Linked DNA regions of Diceros bicornis minor. The protein of the gene in region 2 interacts with the protein of the main gene of each other region in a pairwise test. Links are inferred from orthologs where the notes say so. Each region holds a gene or a part of one and is shown on either strand. Other genes may lie near its edges.

What was found. The genes of interacting proteins can lie anywhere in the genome.
Region 1: the proteins of ARR3 (region 2) and GNMT interact in a two-hybrid assay, tested with the Homo sapiens proteins (2 studies listed by BioGRID and IntAct). The two-hybrid records come from large-scale screens. The link is inferred for Diceros bicornis minor from reciprocal best matches to the Homo sapiens genes ARR3 and GNMT.

The regions. Positions count from the first base shown.
Region 1 is NC_080753.1:22,694,330-22,701,395, forward strand, and holds the start of GNMT (glycine N-methyltransferase), read right to left. Parts: upstream 3,008-7,066; 5' UTR 2,756-3,007; coding exon 2,550-2,755; exon of another isoform or gene 1,729-2,549; coding exon of another isoform or gene 1,622-1,728; coding exon 1,494-1,621; intron 1,048-1,493; coding exon 931-1,047; intron 726-930; coding exon 583-725; intron 478-582; coding exon 356-477; intron 274-355; coding exon 102-273; 3' UTR 1-101. UniProt on the Homo sapiens protein: Catalyzes the methylation of glycine by using S-adenosylmethionine (AdoMet) to form N-methylglycine (sarcosine) with the concomitant production of S-adenosylhomocysteine (AdoHcy), a reaction regulated by the binding of 5-methyltetrahydrofolate.
Region 2 is NC_080781.1:63,648,370-63,655,299, reverse strand, and holds the start of ARR3 (arrestin-C), read right to left. Parts: upstream 3,024-6,930; 5' UTR 3,022-3,023; coding exon 2,830-3,021; intron 2,709-2,829; coding exon 2,649-2,708; intron 2,466-2,648; coding exon 2,398-2,465; intron 1,743-2,397; coding exon 1,607-1,742; intron 1,418-1,606; coding exon 1,333-1,417; intron 1,072-1,332; coding exon 999-1,071; intron 607-998; coding exon 469-606; intron 1-468. UniProt on the Homo sapiens protein: May play a role in an as yet undefined retina-specific signal transduction. Could bind to photoactivated-phosphorylated red/green opsins.

The sequences.
Region 1 (7,066 bases), on a different chromosome or scaffold from region 2:
TCTGCACCAGGGCTGGACTGGGTGTGGGGCTGCTGTTCCCCACCTCCCCAGACAGAGCCCAGCAGTGCCTAGGCAGAGGGTTGTGGGACCTTAGGCCATGCTCAGTCCGTCCTCTTGAGCACGTGGATGAAATAGCAGGGAATGTAGGCCTGGCCCGGCTTGTAAGGCTTGAAGTCACCCAGGACGCCATGCTGGCACTTGCCCCCGAAGGCTGCTCGGAGCAACTCCGTGAAGGGTGCCAGGCAGTGTGGGTAGTAGGAGAGCCGGAACTTACTGCAACAGAGCCCCCGGACCACCATGAGGCCTGGTGGCCTCAGCACCCCCCAGCTCACCCCCTGCCTAGCCAAGTCGTTACCTCAAGTGAGGAGAACTGTCCTGGCCAGCCTCCGGCACCTGCACTGTGTAGTCCAGGGTCACCATGTGGGCCTTGTTGTTCACTGTCAGCACTGAGGTCGTGATGTCCTTGGTCAAGTCACTCTGCAGGTGATGGTGCAGGCTGCATTAGCCTCTGCAGCCACTATGGGGCCTGGACCTCAGGCTAACTCCTCCCGCTCTGGGCCCTCCCTCCCCCAGTGGCCCCACCTTATAGTAGATGTTCTTCCCTGGGGGTGCACAACCTGTGCTGAGGATGTGATCGTAGTTGCGATGATCGATAACCAGCAGGCCCCCTGAGCGCACCATGCTCGCAATGTTCTTCAGTGCCAGCCGGTGCTCACTCTGGTCTCCTGAGCTCCGGGCAAGGGCAGAGAGGCTACGTCTGCTCAGGGCCCCCAGCACCAGTTTCCCTCCCATCTCTCTCCTCCCCAGCAGTGCCAGTGCCAAGGCAGAGAGGGGCAAAGCAGTCTGCTCTGGCAGGAGAGCAGGCATCCAGGGGTCTGGGGACAGGGGTGCAGCTCAAAGCAAGCCATGCCCAAGGCCACACCCTCTCACCTTTGCAGTCCGGCAAGTGGGCAAAACTGTTTCCAAGGCAGATGACGGCATCGAAGCCACCCCCTGGAGGCTTGGGCACATCTTTGTCCAGAGTCATCCAGTTGGCTTCTTCGATGACTGGGGGCCAGGAAGGAGAAGAGAGATCAAGGTGGCACCGTGGTACCAGCAACACCCACCTCCACCAAGTGCTGTCCTGCCTCAGTTTCCCCTTCAAGACACACACAGGGACTCCCCATCCAGTGAGGGGGAAGGGATCATTATGGACTTGGAGAGGGAAGGGAGAAGAGGGGTCAAAGGAGGAGGAAGCCATGTTGGGAAGGAGGGCTCTGTGCTTATGGGTTTTTATTTGGGGGGAGGGACAAGATGCTATCAACATAGTTAAAACCAGCCCCTTATAACTGATGCCTCATTCTGGTGCCTAAGCCTCCCTTTTCAGGGAAATGACTAATTTTGCTGTCCCCTTGAGGGAAAAAAACACTCCATCCTAGAAGCTAAAGAGGCCCAGGGCAGAGAGAACCATGTCCTTGGTGGCTGGGCTGGGAGGGCCTGGCTGGACCACATACCCCACTTGTCAAAGGCGGGCTCGTGCCGCCGATTCCAGCGCTCTTTAAGCGCATACTTCAGCATCTTGTCACTGGCGTCCACGCTCATCACGGTGAAGCCCTCTTCCACCAGCATGATGGAGTCCACCCTGGGCAGGGCCAGGGATGAGAGGCGGAGGGGGCAGTCAGGGGCCTGGGAAGGCAAGGAGGAGGCCCTGTGCTGGACACTCAGTCTCCTCAACTCCCCAGAGCCCATTCCTCTGCTTCCTCTCCACTGACCTCGAATGACCTGGCAAATCTGTTTCTTATCACCAGGTAGCAACTTTTTTTTTTTTTTTTTTTAGCACTTACTGGAGTCAGGCGCTCTACAAACGTGCATTAATCCTCATGGTAACCCTGTGAAGTAGATGGTGTTATCCCACTTGAGAGGGGCAAACTGAGGCTCCTGGAAGTCAGGTGACCTGTGCACAGGAGGTAGTATGGTATGGTGGTATAGAGCACTGGCCAGACCCTACCTGCCCTGGGTCTGTTTCTCCTCTCCACAAGAGGAGGATCCTTGACTGTCTGAGGCGGAATTTCCACAGCTGTAAATGGGATATCACCACCCTAACCCTAGCCCTAACCCTCGTGGGATTTTATGAGGATTTTTGAAACGGATGTATCAAAAGCTTCGGGCACAGCACTTGGCACGAGCAAAAGTGAACAAATGTGAACTGTTACGGCTGCCCAAGACCATCACACAGGAGCAATGTTCGGGCCAGGACCCAGGCTTACATGGTCTGGCCCCAAAGCCGGCTCTGGCGCTGCCGGGGCGAACCGGCCTCCCCACCGCGCTGTGCCCACGCCCCCGCTCTCACCCTGGGCCTCCTCAGCCCCCTCCTCCCGCCAGCCTCGCCCAGGCCCTCGCCCTGCCCGTTCTGCCCGGGCAGACACCCTCTCCCGGCCCTGGCAGCCCGCCCGGCCCAGCTCCAGGCCGGCGAAGGAAGCTGCTCGGACGGGCTCGGCCGTGGTCCTGCGGTCCGGCCCGGGCCGAGCCAGACCCCGCTCCCCCGTCCCACTGGCCCCTTCCGGGCTCACCCGGTGCCGCAAGCCACGTCGAGCACCCGCTGGCAGCCGTGCTGACGCAGCAGGCCGATCAGCCAGGCCTTGTACTCGGCCGTGCGGCTGCGGGTGTCCCCGACGTAGAGCTGCCACACGCGCGCCGCCTCGCCGTCCGCGTACTGGTCCGGGAGCCCTTCAGCCGCCACCCCCAGGGAGCGGGTCCGGTACACGCTGTCCACCATCCTGCGACGAGCCTGGCTCCGCGGCGCCCGCTCCGCCTTTATAGGACGGCCCTTCGGAGCCCCGGGGGCCCCACCTGCCCAATGGCAGGTGAGCGCGGGGACACGCCCCCGCTGGGCTCCCGGCCCGGCGCCCGCAATCCTGGACCAGCCCTTCTCCCGGCCTGAAGATTCAGCCCTCTGAACGATCCCACGGCTGGAAAGGACCCTCCCGGCCCCCTGCCCGCTTAACCCAGGTCGCAGGAGAACCGGGGAGGAGCCAGGAGAGCTCGGAGCAGTGAGATTGCCCACTCCACCTCCACTCAAACTGGAAAGAAAGGAAAGAAAACTTCACAGTCCACACAGAGCTGAGGCCCAGGACTGGATCAGACCCAACGAATGAAGATATTAGCATATCTAAAGAAAGAATGTCCGGCTGAAGGAGGGCCTGGGTCAGCCAGGGAAGGGAGGAATGGGGAGTCTCTGAGGATAATAATGCTGGTCTGGCCATCCAAGTCCAGGACCAGTTCTGGACCAAGGGCTCATCCCACCCACCTGGAGGCAGGTGCTCCTCTGTCCTGTAGGTGACACATCAAGCTTTTCCCTGAGCTGTCCAAGGCAGAGGCTGGTCCTTCCTTCCAACTCCCCGCCAACCAATCACCCTTCTAAAGACCATCTGCTTTTCATGGAGGCGCCCACAGGGTGGGAAGTCCAGGGTGAGGGGTGGGAGTGCTTGGTGCAATTATATTGCTCATTGTCACTTCATAAATTGCTCTTTTGGTTTGGTTGGTGTCCATCCACCCTTCCTCCCAAAGCAGAAAGTCTCAACCTAGGACAAAACCCTAGACTGAGGTGGTTTCGGGAGGATGATGCCACCCCAGTGAAGCCCAAAACAGCCAGAATGGCCTTCCCCATCTGTCTCTCTTCTGGCTTCAGAAAGAGGGAGGTATGGAATTTAGAACAAAGGAGGCTCTCCTCCTCTCACTCCTTTATTGTCTGTAGAATCTGGGAGCTGGAGGAACCCCAAAGGTCACATAATCATTCTTTCTATTTGCAGCACACAGACTGCCTCACATGGACCTGTCCATGCCCAAGCAATGGAGCCTTGTGCTCACACTGACCCTACAGACAGGTCTTTGGCAACAGGCTTAGAAAGGCACTGTACTGGGGGGTGCAAGTAGACCCAGAGTTTTCTTTCATCAGAATATTCTGAGGGAAATCCACTCCACCACTCCTAGACTTTGAAAAACATCTCATGTTAAGAGAATTATCCTCTCAGTTGTGGGCAGCAATCTGTGTGCTGTGTCCTTGCATCCAGTCATAATTGTAACCACCTCTCTCTATGGGGTCAGCTGTTTTTATGTACGCGGACTCTGAGAAAATTAGTTCCTTCCTTCGGTAGGAAAACGCATTCTTTACTTAAAATAAACTTGATATTTATTTTACCCTAAATCAGGAGGAGAGTAATTAATTATTTGGCTATAAATTGATGAGTTGAGGGTTAAATTGTTAACTAACAATTTGGTCATATAATAAGTAGTGAAATTTTAAGGAAAAATAGACCTATTAAATAATTTACTTTTGTCATATTGGAGTTCTAAAATTCCCTTAAGAAATTTGGAGAAAAATGAAGGATGACGTTAAATTAGAATAACAACCAAAATGATGGGGAAATGATTTCTTTGTCACTATCTGCAAGTGGGTTGGCTGGATATAAAATAGTTGAAAAGTTAAGTGGCTGGACTGAGGCAATTTATTATTTTTTCCCTCACTATTGCTTTCTTTTTCATTTACTTTTGCCTCTTAACCTTCTCTGAATGCATGTGAGGTAAACCTGGGGTTTTCTTAAGGCTCAAAATGCTGTTGGGAAATGTCACCTTTTTAGAAAGACCAGAAACATCATGTCAACAGGTCATAAGATTTACCAGACTCTGTGGGTCTCAATATTTAAGGACATGTATTCTTGTGATTTTGAATACTTCCTTCTCCTGATATTCATATAAATGATAGTGAACCCTGGGAGAAAAGCACTGATTTGTAAATTGAGACATCTCTGCCCACCCTTTCATTTAGAAATTGCCATTCAAAAGACTCCATCTGGAGCTCTTTGATAAAACTAGCTCCAAAAAAAGTATTTTGATTTTATTCTTTTGTTTCATCTAGAAACAAAACTACCTAGAAAAAAAAGGAAAAAAGTTACCTAGAACAACTATTTAAATATCTTTTTTTTTTTAATTTGGTGTAACATGATTCCCCAACCTCTCCCTAGCAAAATTTTTTTCTTGTCCAGAAACTATTTCAGCTCTTTTTTTTCCTTTCCTGTTTTAAAACAAAGTTTTTGAATTTTTGGCATAATGCACACCTCTGAATGTTTGTATAACATTTTTGTGATTGGTTTGCAGTCTTTAGAGGATAAAGGCCATACTCTACATACTGATAAGGAATTTTATTTAAATATTTGGTTTTTATTTAAATATTGATGCTTGTGATTTGTGAGAAGCAAAATTTTACCCACAGAACCATAATATGAATTTTAAAAATAATATGAATAATGGTGGTAAATTTGGATTAAAAAATTATAGATTGTATGTAGCTTCTAAATGTACTTTCTATTTCAAAGACAAGATTTTTCGTTCTGAAGTTAATAATTATTCGATTTCTATGCCTGTGGCGTAGTGGTTAAGTGCTCACGCTCTGCTGCTGGCGGCCTGGGTTCGGATCCCGGGTGTGCACCAACGCACCGCTTGTCAGGCCATGCTGTGGCGGCGTCCCATATAAAATGGAGGAAGATGGGCACAGATGTTAGCCCAGGGCCAGTCTTCCTCAGCAAAAAGAGGAAGATTGGCATGGATGTTAGCTCAGGGCTGATCTTCCTCACCAAAAAAAAAAAAAAATTATTCCATTTCTTTCTCATCCAGAGGCATTAAAAAAAATGTCGAGATCATAGTGCACATGAAATTTCATGGACTTTTTTTTTCTTTTTTCCTTTTTTTTTACTTTTAACTGTCAAAAGCACATTTTCTTCTCTTGACCATAAATTACTTGGCCTTAAGCATCTTTTTATTTTATTTATTTATTTATTTATTTGTGAGGAAGATCAGCCCTGAGCTAACATCCATGCTAATCCTCCTCTTTTTGCTGAGGAAGACTGGCCCTGAGCCAACATCCGTGCCCATCTTCCTCCACTTTATATGGGACACCGCCACAGCATGGCCTGACAAGCGATGCGTCGGTGCGCGCCTGGGATCTGAACCCGGGCTGCCAGCAGCGAAGTGCGAGCACTTAACCGCTACACCACGGGGCCAGCCCCACTTAAGCATCTTTTTAATGGCTACACTGAGTGGATGTGCTGCACCATGTTTAATCATCCCCCAAGTTCTGAACATTTAAAATACTCCCACAATTAAGAGAGTGAACATGTGGATGATTATGATCAAATCATTTTCCAAATGGAATTTTTCTATTAATTGATACCGTCACCCAAAACAAATGTTTCTTTCAACTCTTCTCTACATGAAGATATCATTCATTGACATTTCATTATGTAGAAAATTGTATCTAATTGTTGTAATCATCTTTTGCGTGTGTGTGTGTGAGGAAGATTAGCCCTGAGCTAACATCCATGCCAATCCTCCTCTTTTTGCTGAGGAAGACTGGCCCTGGGCTAACATCTGTGCCCATCTTCCTCTACTTTATATGGGACGCTGCCACAGCATGGCCTGACAAGCGGTGCGTCAGTGTGCACCTGGGATCCGAACCTGGGCCCCCAGCAGCGGAGCGTGCGCATTTAACCACTATGCCATGGGGCGAGCCCTGTCATCGTCTTTAATCACTACCAAAATGTACCAATAATTGCAGTCTTTCATCTCTAAACTGTTTGTCCATGTCCTCTGCCCAAAGAAATATATTGAAACTGCCTTTTGTTTTACTTGATTAGTCCCTATGAATTTTATTTTATTTTTTTTAAGGTTTCTTTTTTTTTTAATTTTTTTTATTTATTTTTTCCCCCAAAGCCCCAGTAGATAGTTGTATGTCATAGTTGCACAGCCTTCTAGTTGCTGTTTGTGGGATGCGGCCTCAGCATGGCCAGAGAAGCAGTGCGTCGGTGCGCGCCCGGGATCCGAACCCGGGCTGCCAGCAGCGGGGCGCCAGCACTTAACCGCTAAGCCACGGGGCCGGCCCCGTATGAATTTTAGATAAGCCAAATCTGACGCCCTGGACCATGGAAGAGACGGTCATAGACTATAAGTCAATCTACAGTTTGACTTAATTGAAAATAAGAATAGGTGATATTTTTAATATGCAACGTTTATTATTTGGAATTGGCTGAAAAGA
Region 2 (6,930 bases):
CCCTGAGCTAACATTCGTGCTAATCTTCCTCTTTTTGCTAAGGAAGACCGGCTCTGAGCTAACATCTATTGCCAATCCTCCTCCTTTTTTTTCCCCAAAGCCCCAGTAGATAGTTGTACGTCGTAGTTGCACATCCTTCTAGTTGCTGTATGTGGGACGCGGCCTCAGCGTGGCTGGAGAAGCGGTGCGTCAGTGCCGCCAGCAGCGGAGCGCGTGCACTCAACCACTAAGCCACAGGGCCGGCCCCATTTTTTCCTTTCTTGTTGCCTATGACCTAAGCCTGCCATTGGTCCCATGGGCATTATTTAGCTTACTGTTAGCCCTCAGGCCTGGAGGGATCTCTGAACACTAGCCTAGGGACATTTTAAAAATGTAGGTAGGCTTCATTGAAGGTGAAACCTTAGACCTGTATATATAGCATGCAGAATGTGTTGGGGATAGAGAATGGGGAGTTACATTTGAGCTTACATCGTGCTGGAGGCCAGATTGGTATCACCATGCTTGAGTTTGCCGTCCAGTGCCAGGCCCTGTTTCTGGCAGTTGGCATCCAGGAGTGGGGTTACCGTGAAGCTCTTGGAGAAGCTGGAGTTAGCAGCTATAGTTTCCCTTTGAAAGGAGAAGAGAAGAACTTAGGCTAGGCTTGCCGACTAAGGGTACTTTCATTCCCAAGAGTATCTTGCATAATTTCATGAATATACTGGAGTATCCCAGAGACCTGGCATGTCTAACTGTGGAGAATGGAACATTCACTCTGGTGGGAAATCCTTCTGCCCCTTCCCTCTCTCAGCATTTTGATGATCCTCTTGTGGATCCTCCCTCTAGTTCTCCTGGGAGTCCCTCCCTTTCTCCATGTCAGCCCTCACCTTGACTTTCTTCAGTCCTGGGCTGTTACTTGCTTCCTTCTTTCTCCAATCCCTTCCTCTGCCTCCAGCCCCCTGGCCCTCTTCCCATCACCCCACCCCTTGGTTCTTCTGACCCCGGCCCCAGCACCAGCTCACGTGAACTCCTGAATGAACACAGTCTTGGTGTACTTGTCTAGTGAATACAGGACAACATCTGTGATCTGGTCAACTGAACAGCCAGGAAAAGCACATGACTATAATCAGTCAGTCATCCTCAAGACCCCAACTCACTGCCCTCAGAAGTGACCTTATACATGGGCACACTATGCATGATGCACTCAAATGTGCTCATGGACAGAGACACATATTTTGGTAAGCCTGCATTGGAGGGAAATCCTAGATGAATGCAGACTGGGTAAGTGGGGCAGAGTTTTGAAAAAAGACCTGTGGATTTGGGACCAGGTGCAGGAGGATAGGAAAAGAAGCTCACCTGAAATCTTGATTTTTTTTATGACCTTGTTGGTGCAGTTGTTGATAGAAACATTGACAGAGATGGGTTTGCCATGGTAGTGAACCTGAAGCAGGAGGAGAGGCCCATCACAAGGTTGGAGGGAGAATGCCCAGGTCAAGACCTAGAATTCCTATTTCATTAGCACTATTGCCACCCTGGCTCCCATCCCTGTCTACCCAAGTAGAAAAATCAGTGAAGAAAGAGTTTCAGAGGGGTTGTAGGGCAGGGGGCAGGGAGTGGGGGGGTCACAAACCTCCCTGTCCATCCAGGCCTGGAGTTGTAGGGGCTGAGCTGACAGAAGGAAGCGGCGGACAGTCTGGGCTGAGGGGCCAGGGCCTGGCTCCAGGGGTGCAAACTGTATTTTCCGAATCACCAGGCGCACAGAGTCTCTGAGTAGAGGCCAAGGGGTTAGCCAGAATGTCTGCTTTGGGACCCACAGACATTTCCCGTGCCAACACCATAACCCAGTCTTTACTTGGACGTTAGAGGTAGAGGAAGGCCTCCCTCAGAGAACTCCTCTAGACCCTCAGTGTAGGGATCTAGACCATGGGTCAGCAAACTATGGCTCACTGGCCGAATCTGGCCTGCTGCCTGTTCTTGTATGGCCTGCGAGCTAAGAATGGTTATTACATTTTTAAATGGTTGAAAAAAATCAAAGAAAAGTAATATTTCATGATGTTTGGAATTACATAAAACTCAAATTTCAGTGTCCATAAATAAAATTGTATTGGAACACAGCTATGCTCATTCATTTACATTCTATCTGTGGCTGCTTTTGCACTGCACTGGCGGAGTTGAGTAGTTACAGCAGAAACTGTATGGCTCACAAAGCCTAAATATTTATTTTTTGTCCTTTTACAGAAAAGTTTGCTGACCCTTGCCCTAGAGCAAAGAAGAGAAGTCAGAGGGGAATCAGAACTGGGCATCTGAGTTGGTAATGATGGTGCTATGGAGGTTAGAAGTAGCACTGTTTCTGTCCTGAGAACAAGATCTATTTCCTGACACAGGTTGGAGGCAGGGATTTTGGAGAGGACCAAAGAATACCTCTTGGAGATTTTCTCCTCCAGGTTTTCAGCACAGAAACTTTTCACTTCAAAGTCAATCCCACAGGCCTGCAAAGGGGCAGGGGCAAAGAGAGCTCATTTCTAACACTATCCCTCCCTTCTTCATGGGCCTATAAGGAAATGCCTGACCTCATCCTTTAATTGTCTATTTCTTCAATCTTGTCCATTTGTCCCTCTGTCCTTCTCCCAGCGCTGACCGTCTATCCCTCTTTCTCAGAACCCAGACCTCACCTTTCCTGTATCTTCAGGATCTGGCTGCAGTGTCACCGAACAGGGCAGGTTGACAACCATCTAGGAGATCAGAAGGAGGTCAGCAAACAGAAGAAATAGGGACCCCTTTCCCCTCTTCTCTTTCTTTAGCTTCCTCTCTTAATCTTCCCTGGAAACCTTGCCCAGGACTTGGGGTCAGTACCTGCAGAGTAAAGGGGTAGGCATTGTCCCCCAGCTTGTGCAGCAGTCGCTCCTGTAGGACTGTGAGGGGCCCCTGGGGGCTGGTGGCCTCAGCTGGGACCACTTGCAGGACCTGTACATACAGATCTTTGCGGAACGTCAGACCAATCACATCCAAGTCATCATGGCCATAGCGAAAGGCACATGTTAACATGACAAACACTGCAGGCAAAGGAGGAAGAGAGTGACCTGTCAGGCCTGAGGAGAAAAGGAGGTCTTAAATGGCTCATAGGAAGACATAGAGAGACAATGTAATATGATCGAAACAATATGGCCATAAAGAAAAGAATTAATACATTTGACTACAGTAAAATTTAAAACTTCTTTACATTAAGAGTCTTTATAAACAATGAAACAAGCAAACACCTGGGAGAAAATATTGGCAACACATATAACAAACAAAAGGTTACCATTCATAATATATAAAGAACTCCCACAAATCAAGAATAAAAATGTCCCAGTATAAAAGTGTGCAAAGGGACTGGCCGCATGGCCTAGTGGTTAAGTTTGGCACACTCTGCTTTGGTGGCTCGGGTTTAGTTCCCGGGCGTGGACCTACACCACTCATCGGTGGCCAAGCTGTGGCAGCAACCCACATACTAAATAGAGGAAGACTGCCACAGATGTTAGCTCAGGACGAGTCTTCCTCAAGCAAAAAGAGGAAGATTGGCAACAGATGTTAGCTCAGGGCGAATCTTCCTCAGCAAAAAAAAAAACAAAACAAAAAACAAAACAAAACAACAACAAAAAAAAGGGATGCAAAGAATATGGATAGCCTCTTTGCAGATGTACAAAACAGAATGACCAATAAGATATGAAAACATGTCCATTCTCATTAATAATCAGATAAATGCAAATTAAAACGACAATGAGAGAACATTTCACACCCATCAGATTGTCAAAAATTTCAAAGTCTGACAATACTAAGTGTTGGTAAAGATGTGTAGCAATAGGAGTTCATTATACACTGCTGGTGGAAGCATACATTAGTACAACCACTTTGGAAAACTGTTTGGCACTATCTAGTAAAACTGAATCTGTTCATATCTTATGACCTAAAGAGAATTTAGAGAAATTCTTGCTCATGTTTATAAGGAGATCGATATGAGAATGTCTATTGCATCAAGGTTTGTCATGGCATAAAATTGGAAATAATTTAAATGTCTATCAACAGGAGAATGGGTAATACAGTTGTGGTATAGTCATATAATGGAATACTAAACTGAGTTTAAAATAAATGAACTATAATTCCACGTATCAACATGGTTAAGTCTCGAAAACTATTGAGTAAAAAAGCTAGGTGCAGAATGATATGCACAATCTGATACCGTGTATATAAAGTTTAAAAGCATATAGAACAGGGGGCTGGCCCTGTGGCCTAGTGGTTAAGTTCGGCATTATCTGCTTGGGCGGCCTGGGTTCAGTTCCTGGGTGTGGACCTACACCACTTGTCAGTGGCCGTGCTGTGGTGGTGACCCACATACAAAATAGAGGAAGATTGGCACAGATGTTAGCTCAGAGTGAATCTTCCTCAGCAAAAAAAAAAGCATATGGAAGAATACCAAAGTTGCTCACAGATATATAAATATGGAGTCGAAGTATAGAAGCATCATGAGAATAATAAACACCAAATTCAGGCTAATGGTTACCTGGGTGGAGGCAAGGAGAGAAGGAGGTGGGAGGGAGGAAGGGGAATGGGATTAGGGAAGGACACATGGAATCTTCAGTTTGTTGCTATAATTCTTTTTAAAGCTAGGTGGTGGGTAGAGGCTATTCATTACATAATTCTCTAGGGTCAGGATACCTGGGCTTGAATATGACTTGTACAAATCTCTTGAGTTCTCTGAGCCTCAGTTATTTCACCTGTCAATAATAGGACTGCACTAAGAGCTCTATATATGTTATTTAGACCTCAAAACAATCCTCTGAAGTATTATTATCTCCACTTTACAGGTAGAGAAAATGAGCTCAGGGCGGTTAAGTGACGGCCCAGGATTTCAACCCAGGCCTGTCTGATTCCAAAGCCCAGACTCGTGTGTGCCCAACTTAACTCATAGGATGGTTGTGAGGAACTGATGTATAAGAAATCCCTTTGGAAATTGTAAACTAATTATAAATGTGGATGATGATGATAATTGTGGGAATATTGGCCAGTTATAAGTGAACTCATACTTTGCAGCTGGTACCTAAGATCCGGGGCAAATGGAAAGCCTCTTTAATGCACTCGTGGAGTGTGGGATGGGGCATAGAGGGATACCTGGCCAAGGGCAGAGTGACAGAGATCGAGGGAAGGAAAGATGTCGAACAGGGGTGGAGAATCTTATTTCTATCAGGAGCCCTGACCCAAAAAAAAAGAAAACTACCAACAGCTACACACTACTAGAAAGCAACTTATTTTAGTATTTTTAAGAGATGAAAATATCAAACAGCCAGATTGTCTGCTTTTAAAATTAAGAACAAGAGAAATTAATCTATATTCAAAAGATACAACAAAGACTGAAAGTAATGATAGTGGTGGTGTTTATAAGGACTGGGGCAACGGGCAGCCTCATACACTGCAGGAGAGCGAGTTAATTGGTACATTTTGGAGGGCAATTTGGCAATAGAAAGCTGTAAAAATGTGTGACTACCCTTTGACCATTCATTCCTTTTCTAGGCATGTAGTCTGAAGAAATAATTGGACAAGTATGAAAAGATATATATACAAGTATGTACTTTACAGGGTTGTTTATGATAGCAAAAAATGTCCAGCAGTTGAAGATTGGCTAAATATGTTACAGTACACCCATACAATATAGTACTAGGCAACTTAAAAATTCACAGATTTTTATATATTGACATAGAAGAAACAGAAGATTAGAAAACATTATTTATAGTATAGCATTTTTTAAATAAAAATATAGTTTTGCACAGAAAATATGAACTAAAATATTATTAATGATTATCTCTGAGTGATAGGATTACAGTCTCTTTCTCCTTCATCTGTATTTTCTAATTTTTCTGCAGTGAAGGCAAACTTAACAATTTTCAAAAGATACAACAAATAAATTCACCTTGGTTCTCAATTATGGCCAATTAAAGTGGGAGAGGGAGAGAGAAAGAAAAGGAAAAGGAAAGGGACAAAGGAAAGGAAAAGACAGCGAAGATGAAAAGGAGAGGAAAAGAGGTGGCTGGAAGGAAGCAGAGGGAGGAAAGAAATGAAAGAGATGAGGGATAAGACAGAAAAAGATCAGGAGGGGTGAGGCAGAAGGGTATACAGTAACCTCTGAGGTGAGGGGGTTAATCAGATGAATTGTTTTTGGCACATCCAGCTGTTCGCATGTGGGGAGGGCATCACCCCCCGCCCAAGATCTTATTGGCTCTCTAGCAGTTTAGAATCATCCTTTTTTGTGCTAGGAAATAGCTTGTTTTTTTTAATTCAACATCTATTCTAAAGTTATTTATATTTGTGTTTATTATACAAATAATACTTATTAATTGTTTGAAAATCAGAAAATACAAACAAAAAGATAAATCAAAGCTCCAGCATTATACATCCTATTCGAGACATAACTGCTATTAATATCTGTTGCATTTGCTTCCCAACTTTGTTTGTTTCTATAATCAAACATAAGGCCACCTTAGGTATTTACGACTTCTCTCTCATTGCTGTTTTGAAATTAAACTTTTTTTTTTTTGTGAGGAAGATCAGCCCTGAGCTAACATCCATGCTAATCCTCCTCTTTTTGCTGAGGAAGACCGACTCTGAGCTAACATCTATTGCCAATCCTCCTCCTTTTTTCTTCCCCAAAGACCCAGTAGATAGTTCTATGTCATAGTTGTACATCCTTCTAGTTGCTGTATGTGGGATGCGGCCTCAGCATGGCCGGACAAGCAGTGCGTTGGTGCGCGCCCAGGATCCCAACCTGGGCCGCCAGCAGCGGAGCGCGCGCACTTAACAGCTAAGCTTCGGGCCGGCCCAAAATTAAACTTTTTATTTTGAGATCGTCATAGATTCACATGCAGTTGTAAGAAATAATACCGAGAGATTCCAGATAGATTTTTGTTATACAACACTTTATTC